Linked DNA regions of Ovis aries. The protein of the gene in region 2 binds, or shares a complex with, the protein of the main gene of each other region. Links are inferred from orthologs where the notes say so. Each region holds a gene or a part of one and is shown on either strand. Other genes may lie near its edges.

Region 1 (4,368 bases), on a different chromosome or scaffold from region 2:
AAGACCCTAATTAGTTTTGACCCAGGAAAGCAGAAGTAAGAAGCTCTGAGATGCCAGGGGTGTTCACAGTCCATTTCAGAAACAGAAAACAGTGCACTCATGACATCAATGATGTGGAACTACTTGTGGCTGTTAGTTGGAATAACAAATGTTTAGTTTCCCAACACAGTGTCAGATAAATCCAATTAATTGTACAAGTATGAAGCAGAACCAGAGGCCAGACAGCAGTCAAGCAACAAGTTCTGCTTATTTAAAATTAAGCAGACACCAGTGACTTTCTCAAGCTGTTAGCAAAAGAAAAAAAAAGCAGAATACAATTTGCATATTTCTTAGTTTGCAGATCTTTTAAAATAACATTATGAGATAGCACCAAGAAAAGAGGGTACCTTTGCTTGTTCTCCACATCTTGAGTTTTCATCTGCCTGGAGTCCTTGATAAGCCTAACCTGTATTCATGTCTTGCAGAAGGTCCTAGCAAAGGTCACTCCTAATTAGTTGATCTGTAACAAGCATGGACCTGATCTTCTAATTTGAATGCCCCACCCCACAAGCGCCCACACACACCTTGCATTATTTTTGGCTCCATATAACTTAGTATTTTATATTTTTATCTTGTCTCTGTCAGGCTGGTCCCCACCCCCAACCCTCTGCCACTGTAAATTCAGTAAGCGATTTGTTTCTGATTTGTTCCTTGCTATATCCCTGGGTACTAAAACTGTGCCTGGCCCACACTGAAAGTGTTGGTCGCTCAGTTATGTCCGACTCTTTGTGACCCCATGGACTGTAGTAGGCCAGGTTCCTCTGCCCATAGAATTCGCCAGGCAAGAACACTGGAGTGAGCTACCATTTACTCCTCCAAGAGGGTCTTCCCCACCCAGGGATAGAACCTAGGTCTCCTGCATTGTAGGCAGATTCTTTCCTACCTGAGCCACCGGGCATTTTGCTGCTGCTGCTGCTAAGTCGCTTCAGTCGTGTCTGACTGTGTGACCCCATAGAGGGCAGCCCACCAGGCTCCCCCATCCCTGGGATTCTCCAGGCAAGAACACTGGAGTGGGTTGCCATTTCCTTCTCCAATGCATGAAAGCGAAAAGTGAAAGTGAAGTCGCTCAGTCGTGTCCGACTCTTCGCGACCCCATGGACTGCAGCCTACCAGGCTCCTCCATCCATGGGATTTCCCAGGCAAGAGTACTGGAGTGGGGTGCCATTACCCACCTGAGCCACCAGGCACTTTAGGTTCTTAATATAGTTGAATGAAATGAATGGGTGTAATACTCACGAATGATCAACAGAGGGCAACAGAAATTCAGTAGGGGAAGAAATGAAAATGTTTTATTCCGAGCTTCGCGTACAATTACGCGAGATTTGAACTCGCTCGGCCACCGTAGTGCATAGGCCGGAAAAGAGCAGCCACTTCCGGCCTCAGCGGTCCAGGAAGATTGTTTTGGACTATCGGAAACCGAACCCCTCGGTTCTCAGGCAGCTCCATTCCGGAGCAGAGGCTCCATCCTGGAGCTCTAGGCCCCCGACCCGCCCGGCCGCCGACGTGGCAGCTGGAGACACTTTCAGGGCCGGGAATAGGGAGCGTGTTGTCGCCATGGCGACACCGGCGGGGCTGGAGCGCTGGGTGCAAGACGAGCTGCACTCGGTGCTGGGACTGAGCGAGCGGCACGTGGCCCAGTTCTTGATCGGTACCGCGCAGCGCTGTGCCTCGGCAGAGGAGTTCGTGCAGCGCTTGCGAGACACCGATACCCTGGACCTCAGTGGGCCGGCCCGGGACTTCGCCCTGAGACTCTGGAACAAGGTGCTGGGAGAGGCGGGACCGGGCGTGGGAGCGGCGGGAAAGTGGGTGGAGCAGGGGAGGGGCCCCCAGGTTACTTGTCCAACGGAGTTTGGGCTCACTTGGGCTAACTGTCCAACGGAGAATTAAGCTCAGTTTGCAAGCAGTTATCACTTTCGGGCTGGACGACCACTTCCGTGGAGAAGGTTGAGGAGGGCTTAAGGGTTGACTCATTGGAAAAGACTGATGCTGGGAGGGTTTGGGTGGGGGCAGGAGAAGAAGGGGACGACAGAGGATGAGATGGCTGGATGGCATCACGGACTCAATGGACGTGAGTCTGAGTGAACTCCGGGAGTTGGTGATGGACAGGGAGGCCTGGCGTGCTGCGATTCATGGGGTCGCAAAGAGACGGACACGACTGAGCGACTGAACTGAACTGAACTGAACTAAGGGTCTACAGAGCAGTGTTTCTCAAACAGGTTTAGGATTCATCCACGGCTTTTGTTAAAATGAGGATTCCGATTCGGTAGGTCTGGGATGGTTTCTTCATTTCTTCATTTCTAACAAATCTTGTAAGTTTTCGGGTGATGCTGGGTGTTGCCCACCCTTCGAAGAGTGAGTCTATAGAAGAGATGTGTGGGCAGTGTTGTGGGAGGGTAGAAGTGGTGTGGCTGTGATCGAGAAAAGCAGGCCCAAAGATTATCTGGAGTTTGTTGGGTAAAGAAAGGGGAAGAGTAAAGGTGTAATGGTGAGCTCCTGGAAGGCAAGACTGTGATTTTTGTCTTTGTATTCATACCATCTAATTGTAACCTGCAGAACAAGAGCTCAGAAATTATACAGTAAGACTAAAAGTGTTGAACTTGTTCATGGCAGATAACTTGGTGTGGCTGTCCCATTTGCACTTGGTGAAAGATGAGAACGTACTTGATGTGAGGGTAGGAGCTCTGTGTTAATCCGTTCACCAGGGTATCTCTGGAGGCCACTACAGTGCTGGCCCGTGACAGGGCTCTGCAAAACAATCTGGACAATCCTTGTCCAGTCCTTGGGTAGGAATGACTTAGTCATCGGGAAGAACAGAGGCTGAGCAGTTGAGAATTGAGTGTGAGAATGTAAAGTCCATGAGGGCAGAAAGTTTTATCTCTTTACCCCTATATCTCTAGTACCTAGCAGGGGGTGCATGGGATAGGCTTAGGAACTGAGAGACCCCATTCGGGCTGATGGACATGGTGTGAAGCCTTGGGGAAGAGACAGAATGACAGCTGGTTTAAGATCAGTTACTCCTTAAATTAGGAACTGGGCAGAGTAGGTGGGCAGAGATCAGGAGTTGCTTACATCCCCTTGACTTCTCTCTCTCCCGACAGGTCCCACGGAAGGCAGTGGTGGAAAAGCCAGCTCGGGCAGCCGAGCGAGAGGCCCGAGCCCTGCTGGAAAAGAACCGCTCTTATATGTTGTTGGAGGACAGTGAGGAGAGCAGCGAGGAGACTGTGGGCAGGGCTGGGAGCAGTGTCCAGAAGAAGCGGAAAAAACGGAAACACCTCAGGAAGAAACGTGAGGAGGAAGAGGAAGACGAGGAGGAGGAACAAGTTTCTGAGAAAGGAAAGAGGAAGACAGGGTAAGTCAGAAGTAGGGGGCGAGAGGGTGATGGAACAGGAAGCCTCTGAGTGCCCTCAGTTAATCCTCCGGGGTGGGCTGCAGGGAGAAGAAAGAGCAGACGGAAAAGCCGGAGTCGGAGGATGAGTGGGAGCGGACAGAGCGAGAGCGCCTTCAGGACCTGGAGGAACGCGATGCATTCGCTGAGCGGGTTCGGCAGCGGGACAAGGATCGGACTCGCAACGTCCTGGAGCGGTCAGACAAGAAGGTGCATTGGAGCAGCACTTCCCATCAGTCCCCAGGCAGACCCCTGGATCCGATCTGAGGTTGGGTGTGACCGCAGATAGTGATCTCTGGGAAGACAAGGAGCCGCCTCCAGTAGTCTGGTCATCTCTTTGGGTCTTTGGGCTAAGGTGGCTCTCTGCTGAACCTGTAACCACAGAGATTCCTCAGTGAAGGGGGTACATTTCTTTGTGCTAGGGAACATCTGAGTGATCCTTGTGATTCTAGACAGGAATGGCTGTGGGCACGGGGACTTTGACCACTCTTGCCTTCTCCTAGGCTTACGAAGAGGCTCAGAAGCGCCTCAAGATGGCTGAGGAAGACCGGAAAGCCATGGTGAGTCCGTGTGCCCAGGAAGACAAAGGGAAAGGCTTCCTGATGGAGTGGTTAGGGTAGGGAGGAAAGATGCAGAGGAGGTGTGGTGGGGCTGTTGGGTCTCTGGTTGAGGCGCCAGCTAAGGATAGACTTAAACTGTAGTGGGAAGGAAGTGGCCCAGAAACCCTCTGACTCCTTAGGATCAGATCAGACTGTATGTTAGTGAGGGAAGTATTTCCCTGTTCCTGGGACTTAAAGAGGTGTACTCAAAAGGCAGCTGGAAGGTCAAGGGGCTGGCTGGAGGACAGGGGCAGGGCAGGGGTCACACTGCCCAGGGATGTGCTGACCGCTGAGCTTGTGCACACCATCTCCCGGTACCTTCCTATCATCTAATCCCTCCGTTTC
Region 2 (3,638 bases):
CCTTGTGGCTCAGCTGGTAAAGAATTTGCCTGCAGTGTGGGAGACCTGGGTTCAATCCTGGGGTTGGGAAGATTCCTTGGAGAAGGGAAAGGCTACCCACTCAAGCATTCTGGCCTAGAGAATTCCATGGACCATGGCCTGTACAGTCCATGGAGTTGCAGAGTTGGACACAACTGAGCGACTTTCACTTCACTTTGAGGGTTAGGCACAGTTTCCATTACAAAATGTTAGTGAAAACATTTTAGTATACCAGAGGGGCATTTCCAAACTCTTCCAATATTAAGCATTTAATCCAAGATGTCATCTTCCTTTTCTGCTATGGAAAATATATCTTCCCACCCAACAACTCAAAAACAAGTGAAGAAAGAACAAATATCTTAGTGTAAATCCAGAATATTGAGGTGTTTTAATGAGGACCTCTTGTCACATCAATGGTTTTGGAGTAGGGAGGGAAAATAGACTGGCAGAAAGAATACAACTGAGATATCAATAGGTCTGTTGATCATCTGAGCTTGGTACTGTCTACATTATCAGTATAGAAACTGATGCCCAGAAAGAACAAATGCTATGTGTAAAGATGTTCAGGGATTAGATGGAAGATTTGGGACTATCATCCTGGCTTCTTGACCATCTCTTCTAAAGCTTTTTCTATTACAATCTGTTTTCCTAATTGCCTTGGTGGATACCTGCAAGCCATCCTGGGCTCTTTCCTTGGACTCTCTTTTACCCCAGCACATATTTCCAGCACCTAATGCCCATTTTATTTAGGTTCTACAGCGACTGACATGGACAGCTTTCTTTTCCAAAGTTACCTGTATTGTCCATTGCATTGGACAAGAGGTAAGAGCCTTCAGAACTTAAACTCAGGCCAGTCACTGAATCTGCATGACCTCTCATCGTGTAGGTCAGCTTATTTTGGCGCAGGTCCCAGACCTACAAAACAAAACAAGGTGACACTCCCAGAAATCAAATTGTGAACAGCAAAGAAACAGTTATTAAAGAGTCAACTGCCTGGGAAAATTGGTATCCCTTCTTAATCTGCCTCTGGGCCAAGCACTCCTTTACCACAAAATCAAAGAAGGAAAAACTCCTGTCTTTCTAAAAACAGAGTTAAAGTTACTAAGTTTGGCTAGAAAAATATAAACTAATGACTGCCAAATATTAAGTTTAACAAAAAATAAGAGGATTTAAAGAGGCTATTTTTAATTCATAACAAAATGTATTAGGAATTAAAAAAACAAAGTAGCTTTTAAAACACAATCTATGATTCTCTGCAACTAGGAACAAACTATTACAAACAACTATATAAAAACAGTTAAATGACTTCATTTGAAAACGGCATTTTGATTGCATGTAAAATGTACAAAACAGATATTTGCATATTAGCAAAAACAGAGGTTTAAAAATGTTCGTTTAATGTCATAATACATATACACACACATACATCTGATGGAAAAGCATATTTATTAAAAGAAAAATAAATTGTAAGTTCATGGTTTTCTGGTTAGGAAAGGTAAGGGAAACAGTTCAACTGAAAATAACCTAATGTCAAACAGAAAAAAATAAATGGTTTCATACACACACTGTAACACAACGAGCGCTTATGTTAGTGTTTGAAGACCAGAGTGGAATGAATGAGGATTTAGGGCCAGACTGAATCAGTCACTGCAACTTAAAGAGTTATGTATTATATTATTGGGCCACTAACCCTTCTGAGCCTGTTTCTGGTCTGTAAGATGGGGATAACATTTACTTCTTAGGGCTTCTGTGAGGATTACAGATAGAATACTGGTACACAGCAGGCCCTCTAATTGGTTGCTATTATTAAGCAAATCCTAAAAACACTCTGAAGATCGAATGCAAAAATGTTTATAAATAAACTATTATTAAGCAAATAAGAAAAATATAAAACAGTTATTTATAATTACATAAAAGAAATACATTAAAGGCAATAGAAATGGTCTGGAATGTCATATGGAAAAAGAACAGCAGTTCTGTTAAGGTCACTGTTGTTATACAAAATTTCATCCAAATTTGATTTAATATGGCCACAGTTTTTCTAACTTAAACAAATTTTCCGCTGTCCCTTTAAGCAAGCCTTCCTCATCTAGAAATGAGTTTGTCAAAGCAATACATATGGCAGACAACTCCACTTTCCCCATCAATAACTCATTCATGTGTGGAATCCAACACACTTCATACACAATCATTTTTGTGTCAGGATGTTTGCTGCCTCAATAATCAGGAAAGCTTGAAGTGGCTGACATTTTTTGTTCAAGCCATTGTTCCTTCTCTTCAGAGAAGGCATTGTTGAAACCTTTAGCTCTTTAGGAGAATAAATTCATCATCCTTCGCAGCACTTGGGAGCTATTTCCAGACTTTCCACTTTGGGGCCTGCACACATTGTTTTGTATACCCAAAATGTATCTGGGATTTGCCAGAGGAAGAGTGAGTAGGGCAGTAATTTAAGCAAAATATTTTGCAGATGTCCTAATCAGCTGTTCAGTGATTGTGGCAGGCACTGTTGGAGATAAAAGAAATGTTCTGTTCTCAAGGAGCTAAACAAGTGATAAGAGGCCTGCACAAGGGGCAATAGCCAAGAGGGCAGAGGGATTAATGTTGCCATGGTACATGGATGGAAGTGAGAAAGGGAAGGTTTCACAAAGAATAAAGCACTTGAGCAGGGCATGGAAAAAGAATTTACTGATTTATTGCCATCCCATGCAGTTTGTGGAATCTTAGTTCCCCGATCAAGGACTGAACCCAGGTCCTTGGCAGTGAGAGCACGGAATCCTAACCAGTGGACTGCCAGGGAATTCCCAAGAAGTACTTCTTTATTTAGACAAAGCAGAAGGTTATTTCCAGGCAAAGATGATTCATGAAAGCAGAGGGACATGAAAAAATTGCTGGGTTATAGGGAAATGGGCACAGAGGAAGCAGACAATGCCTGAGTGATGGGCAGGCAAAGGGCAGCTCACGAAAGGTTTTGAATGACTGGCTTGGATTTTACTTCCCTCACTGGGGAGCCACAGAAGGGTAGAGTAGTGGAATGAGTTGATCAGATTCTACAAAAGAGCCTTCTGGCCCAAATAATTGGAAAGGATGAGAACACAGATGGGACTACATTAAAAAAAAATAAATCACCAACTGACCTCCCATTCTGACTAGAGCTCAAGATTACAAGAAATGCCAACCAGATCTTCAAGCCACCAAGTAGAAGCACATTTTCTTCTTTTATTCATTTCCCTCTGACTCCACAATCCTATACCTAGGAAGAAAATCTCAAGAGCCCAACAGGAACTGTGTGTTTGTTTACAAATATAATCAGAATTTGCTCACTCCAGATTTTATGAGGGGCTTCCATTCTCTATTTGTTCCTCCTGTCCCAGAACAGGCAGTGCTCTCTGAGAGACTGAGAAGCAAACAAAAACCAGGCTCTTCAGGAGTGCTTCCTAACGTTGTGAGACAGTGCACGATTTGTCAAGCAAGCCCAAGACTGGTAAGCCCCTGTCTGCTTAAAGGATACTTGTTAATTGAGCAGAAGCAATATGAGTTGTAAGACTACTGGCCCTCTGGAGAGTCCTGGCTCTACCACAGACTATTTGATCTTGGCCAAATCACTTAACTTTTTAGGGCTT
Region 3 (4,074 bases), on a different chromosome or scaffold from region 2:
GTGTGGGGTAGAGCCCACTTCTGTCCTGTCCCTAGATCTTTACTGCTCCATCCAGACAGGAGCAGAGAAGCCCCCTGGCCACATTGGGCTGAGATAGACTTCCCCAGGTCGAATCAGCTCTCCTTAAAATGTGAAGGTTCTGGTGAGGGGCCTGGGGACACTACCCTGCAAGAAGCAGCCAGGGTCCCCAAGCCCCAGGTGTGTGCATAGGGCTGGGGCTGATCACAGCCACCTGAGCCCACCAGGTGGGGGCTGCTCCCAGTGGGGCTGTGGCAAGCTGGAGTGTGGCAGTCACTGTCCTTGCGCAAGGCCCTTGCCCTCCAGAAATTCACAGCCTAAGCCGCTTCCACCCCCACATTTTGAAACACGCTGGAGTCCAAGAGGGCCACCTTCCTCCCTGGTGCTCTGTCACCTGACCCCTTCCTGAGAAACTGAGAAAGGACTAGATAGGAGGGCTTCAGCATTCTGGGCTCCCCACAACCCAGAAAGCCACCAAAGTAGTATTTCTGGGGTCCGATGGTGCTGCCCCGGGTGCGCCCCGCCACCTGGCAGGCTCAGCTCGGGACTGGGGAGCAGAGGATACCAGGCGCGCTGACTTGTTTTCATCTTGGCCTCGCCTCGGGCATACAGGGTCACAGTTCCCCCACCAGGGATCCAAGCGTGTCCCCTCCACTGGGAGCAGAGTCTTAAGCACCGAACCACCAGGGAAGTCCTCACTGGGCTTTTGGGAAGAGCCGACCAGAAGGTAGTGTCAGAAGAGCCACAGAGGGGACACAAGGAGCAGGCGCTCGCGTTTCCACGGCGTCCCTGGATGGTGGAGGGGCGGGGACTGCGGCCCATCGCCAAGCGCGGGTGCATCTGAAGGTGCTTCTACCCCGACAGTCCCCCACACAGGCGACCCCCGGCACCTCTGAGCTCCTACGGGCCCTTGGGGCTCGCCTCAACACAACCGCAGGCTTCAGTCACCACTTCCATCAAGAGGCGGATCGCCGCCTGCGAGAGACAAAACGCTGGAAGCGGGCCCACGCTCAGCGACGGCCCCGCCCATCGCCCCTCGCCTCGTCGCCCCGCCCCTTTGGCCCTTTGGGCGTGGCCAAGTGCCGCTTCCCCCGGAAGTCCGGAACCAAGCCGAACGTCCCGCCCAGCTGGGACGGGCCTTCCTCACGCGGCGCGAGAGTGGGTCCTTGTCTCCTGGTCCCCGACTTAGGTGTTCAGTCCCAACTCCTACGAGGTTCTGAGTCCCCACCGCGTCTCCCACAGCCCAGTCTCAGCTGCAAGCTGCTGGAGAATTCGTTTCCCCTCCCCGGCCCCGCGAAGCCAGGTGGGGTCCTAGCCCCGCGCCCCAGCCTCAACCTTCCACACTCTCCCGCCCGCTCCCCGGGGCCCCTCGCCGCCCGCCCATGGCCCAGAAGCCGAAGGTAGACCCCCACGTCGGTCGGCTGGGGTATCTGCAGGCGCTGGTCACGGAATTCCAGGAGACGCAGAGCCAAGGTGAGTGTCTCGGGGTGGGGGGCAGGGGGGGCTGGGCCGGGGTCCAGCCGCGACCACCGCCCCGACCCTGGCGCCACTGCCCGCTTCTCCATCGCAGACGCCAAGGAGCAAGTGTTGGCCAACCTCGCCAACTTCGCCTATGACCCCGGTAACTACCAGTATCTGCGGCAGCTGCAGGTCTTGGATTTATTCCTCGATTCGCTGTCGGAGGAGAATGAGACCCTGGTGGAGTTTGCTATTGGTAAGGATGGGGCGCTCTCCTAGGTGCCTGATGAGGTAACGAGTTAGAAATGAGTTGTTGGGAAAGGGCTCTTCGGCCGTCTCTCAGCAGCGAAGGCAGACTTTCGTAGTGTCTGTAATGCCTCCGCGGCCAACACAGCGTACAGGTTCACGGGTGGCTTGAGTCTGGCCTGGAACCCACGCCCAGGACCATTTCTACCTGTCTACCTTCCCTGTCGGTTAGAGGTAAGATCATAAATGGGAATGGATTGAAGCCCCTTGGAGGGGCGGGGTGGGGGCGGGGGAGTTGAGCGCTCTTTTAAAACCTCTTTATCTTATATGTTTCACCATCAAGAGAAATAGCGTTCACTCGGAAGGGCTTATGGCACCTGTAGTTGTTCTGGTCTCAGACCTATTGATTTATTCACACGTCAGGTGTTTGTTGGGCTGGTACCCTGTGAGCAAAGTATTGTTCTAAATGCTGGTGAGATGGCCAACAAGTTGGGAAAAGATCTTTGCCCTCAGGGAATTTACATTCTAGTAGAGAGAGACACAAGGTTTACACACAAAAGAAGCTGAGGCACTGAAGAAAACAGGCTGATGAAGAAGAGCAAGGGAAGGAAGGGACTACTTCTGGTTTGGCCCTGGCGGGAAGGCACAGGCCGGGCCAAGACCCCAGAGCAGGAGGAGCCAGAAGGAAGGCTGATGTGGCACCATTGTGGTGAGTGAAGCCCAGAGTGGTACTAAATGAGAGAGAAGGATTTAGTGCTGCTAAATTAGAGAGCACCTCGCACCAGTTTACAGGGATTCAGATCTAGGCATTGGGTGGGAGTTTGGAGTTTATTCTGAGGGCAAACCAACATTCCTGGAACTTCCCTAGTGGTCCAACAACTAGGACTTTGCTTTTCCACTGTAGGGGCGATGGGTTCCATCCCTGGTTAGGGAACTGCTGCTGTTGCTAAGTTATTTCAGTCGTGTCTGACTCTGTGCAACCCCATAGACGGCAGCCCACCAGGCTCCGCCGTCTCTGGGATTCTCCAGGCAAGAACACTGGAGTGGGTTGCCAGTTCCTTCTCCAGTGCATGAAAGTGAAAAGGGAAAGTGAAGTCGCTCAGTCGTGTCTGACTCTTAGCAACCCCATGGACTGCAGCCTACCAGGCTCCTCCGTCCATGGGATTTTTCAGGTAAGAGTACTAGAGTGGGTTGCCATTGCCTTCTCTGGTTAGGGAACTGAGATCCTGCAAAAAGCAAACAAAACCAACATTCTTTCTGCAGCATGTGTCTTTAAAAAATAACATTTCTCTGCATAGTGAAAGGAGTCTTATCTTCATAGGGAATGAACTTAATAATTCCATTGTCACCAAATACCCAGTTAGGCAGACTTCTCTAATAGTTCCCAAGCGGACATTTTTTGTTGTTCTGTATAAACCAGGATCCATGCTCTTAATCTGGTTGTTATGTACGTTAGATCTCAATCTCTCGCTCTCTTTTGAAAGAAACTTTGTATTTTATAACAGTAGAAAAATTGCGAAGGTAATACAGAGTTTCTATGTATACACACCGAGTTTCCTTATTATTACCATCTTACATTAGTATGGTACACTTGTTACAATTAATAAGCCAATAGCAATAGTCCTGTCTAACTCTTTGCAACCGCATGGGCTGTAGCCTGCCAGACTCCTCTGTCCATGGGATTTCCCAGACGAGAATATTGGAGTGGGTTGCCATTTCCTTCTCCAGGGGATCTTCCTGACCCAGGGATAGAACCTGCGTCTCCTACACTGGCAGACAGATTCTTTACCACTGAGCCACCTGGGTACCCCTGTTATTAACTGAAGTCCATGCTTTGTTCTGATTTCGTCACTTTTTCCCTCATAACCTTTTACTGTCTCAGGATTCCATCCAAGATCTTATGTTAGATTTAGGCTCCTTTGGGCTTTGCTGGTTTTAGACTTTTTCTTTTTGTGAATGACCTTGGCAGTTTTAAGGAGTACTGGTCAGGTATTTTGTAGGTTTTCCTTCAGTTGGGATTTGCCTGACATTTTTCTCGTTATTAGACTGGGATATGGGTATTGGGGAGGATGACCACAGAGGTAAATGGTAAAAGGCCATGACATATCTCCTCCAACTGAAGCTATTTTGGGAGGTAGAGGGGGGTGCTTCCCACGTGGGATCTTAGTTCCCTGACCAAGGATCGAACCTATGCCCCCTGCAGTGGCAGTGTGGAGTGTTAACTGCTGGACCACTAGGGTCTCGACTCTGCAGAAAACTTTGCTAAAAAGAGCAGTCGGGAGGGAGGTGGGAGGGGGGTTCATGTTTGGGAACACGAAAAATAAAAATAAAAAATAAAAAGAGCAGTCAGCC

Evidence for each region.
Region 1: SNRNP40 (region 2) and DHX16 share a complex: the UniProt entries of both Homo sapiens proteins name them as parts of the minor spliceosome. The link is inferred for Ovis aries from reciprocal best matches to the Homo sapiens genes SNRNP40 and DHX16.
Region 3: SNRNP40 (region 2) and ARMC7 share a complex: the UniProt entries of both Homo sapiens proteins name them as parts of the minor spliceosome. The link is inferred for Ovis aries from reciprocal best matches to the Homo sapiens genes SNRNP40 and ARMC7.

The regions. Positions count from the first base shown.
Region 1 is NC_056073.1:27,451,484-27,455,851, forward strand, and holds the start of DHX16 (pre-mRNA-splicing factor ATP-dependent RNA helicase DHX16), read left to right. Parts: upstream 1-1,437; 5' UTR 1,438-1,593; coding exon 1,594-1,800; intron 1,801-3,137; coding exon 3,138-3,388; intron 3,389-3,471; coding exon 3,472-3,634; intron 3,635-3,927; coding exon 3,928-3,984; intron 3,985-4,368. UniProt on the Homo sapiens protein: Required for pre-mRNA splicing as a component of the spliceosome. Contributes to pre-mRNA splicing after spliceosome formation and prior to the first transesterification reaction.
Region 2 is NC_056055.1:236,108,870-236,112,507, reverse strand, and holds part of SNRNP40 (U5 small nuclear ribonucleoprotein 40 kDa protein), read right to left. Parts: intron 934-3,638; coding exon 813-933; intron 1-812. UniProt on the Homo sapiens protein: Required for pre-mRNA splicing as component of the activated spliceosome. Component of the U5 small nuclear ribonucleoprotein (snRNP) complex and the U4/U6-U5 tri-snRNP complex, building blocks of the spliceosome.
Region 3 is NC_056064.1:55,673,296-55,677,369, reverse strand, and holds the start of ARMC7 (armadillo repeat-containing protein 7), read left to right. Parts: upstream 1-1,143; 5' UTR 1,144-1,400; coding exon 1,401-1,491; intron 1,492-1,588; coding exon 1,589-1,732; coding exon of another isoform or gene 1,733-1,745; intron 1,746-4,074. UniProt on the Homo sapiens protein: As a component of the minor spliceosome, involved in the splicing of U12-type introns in pre-mRNAs.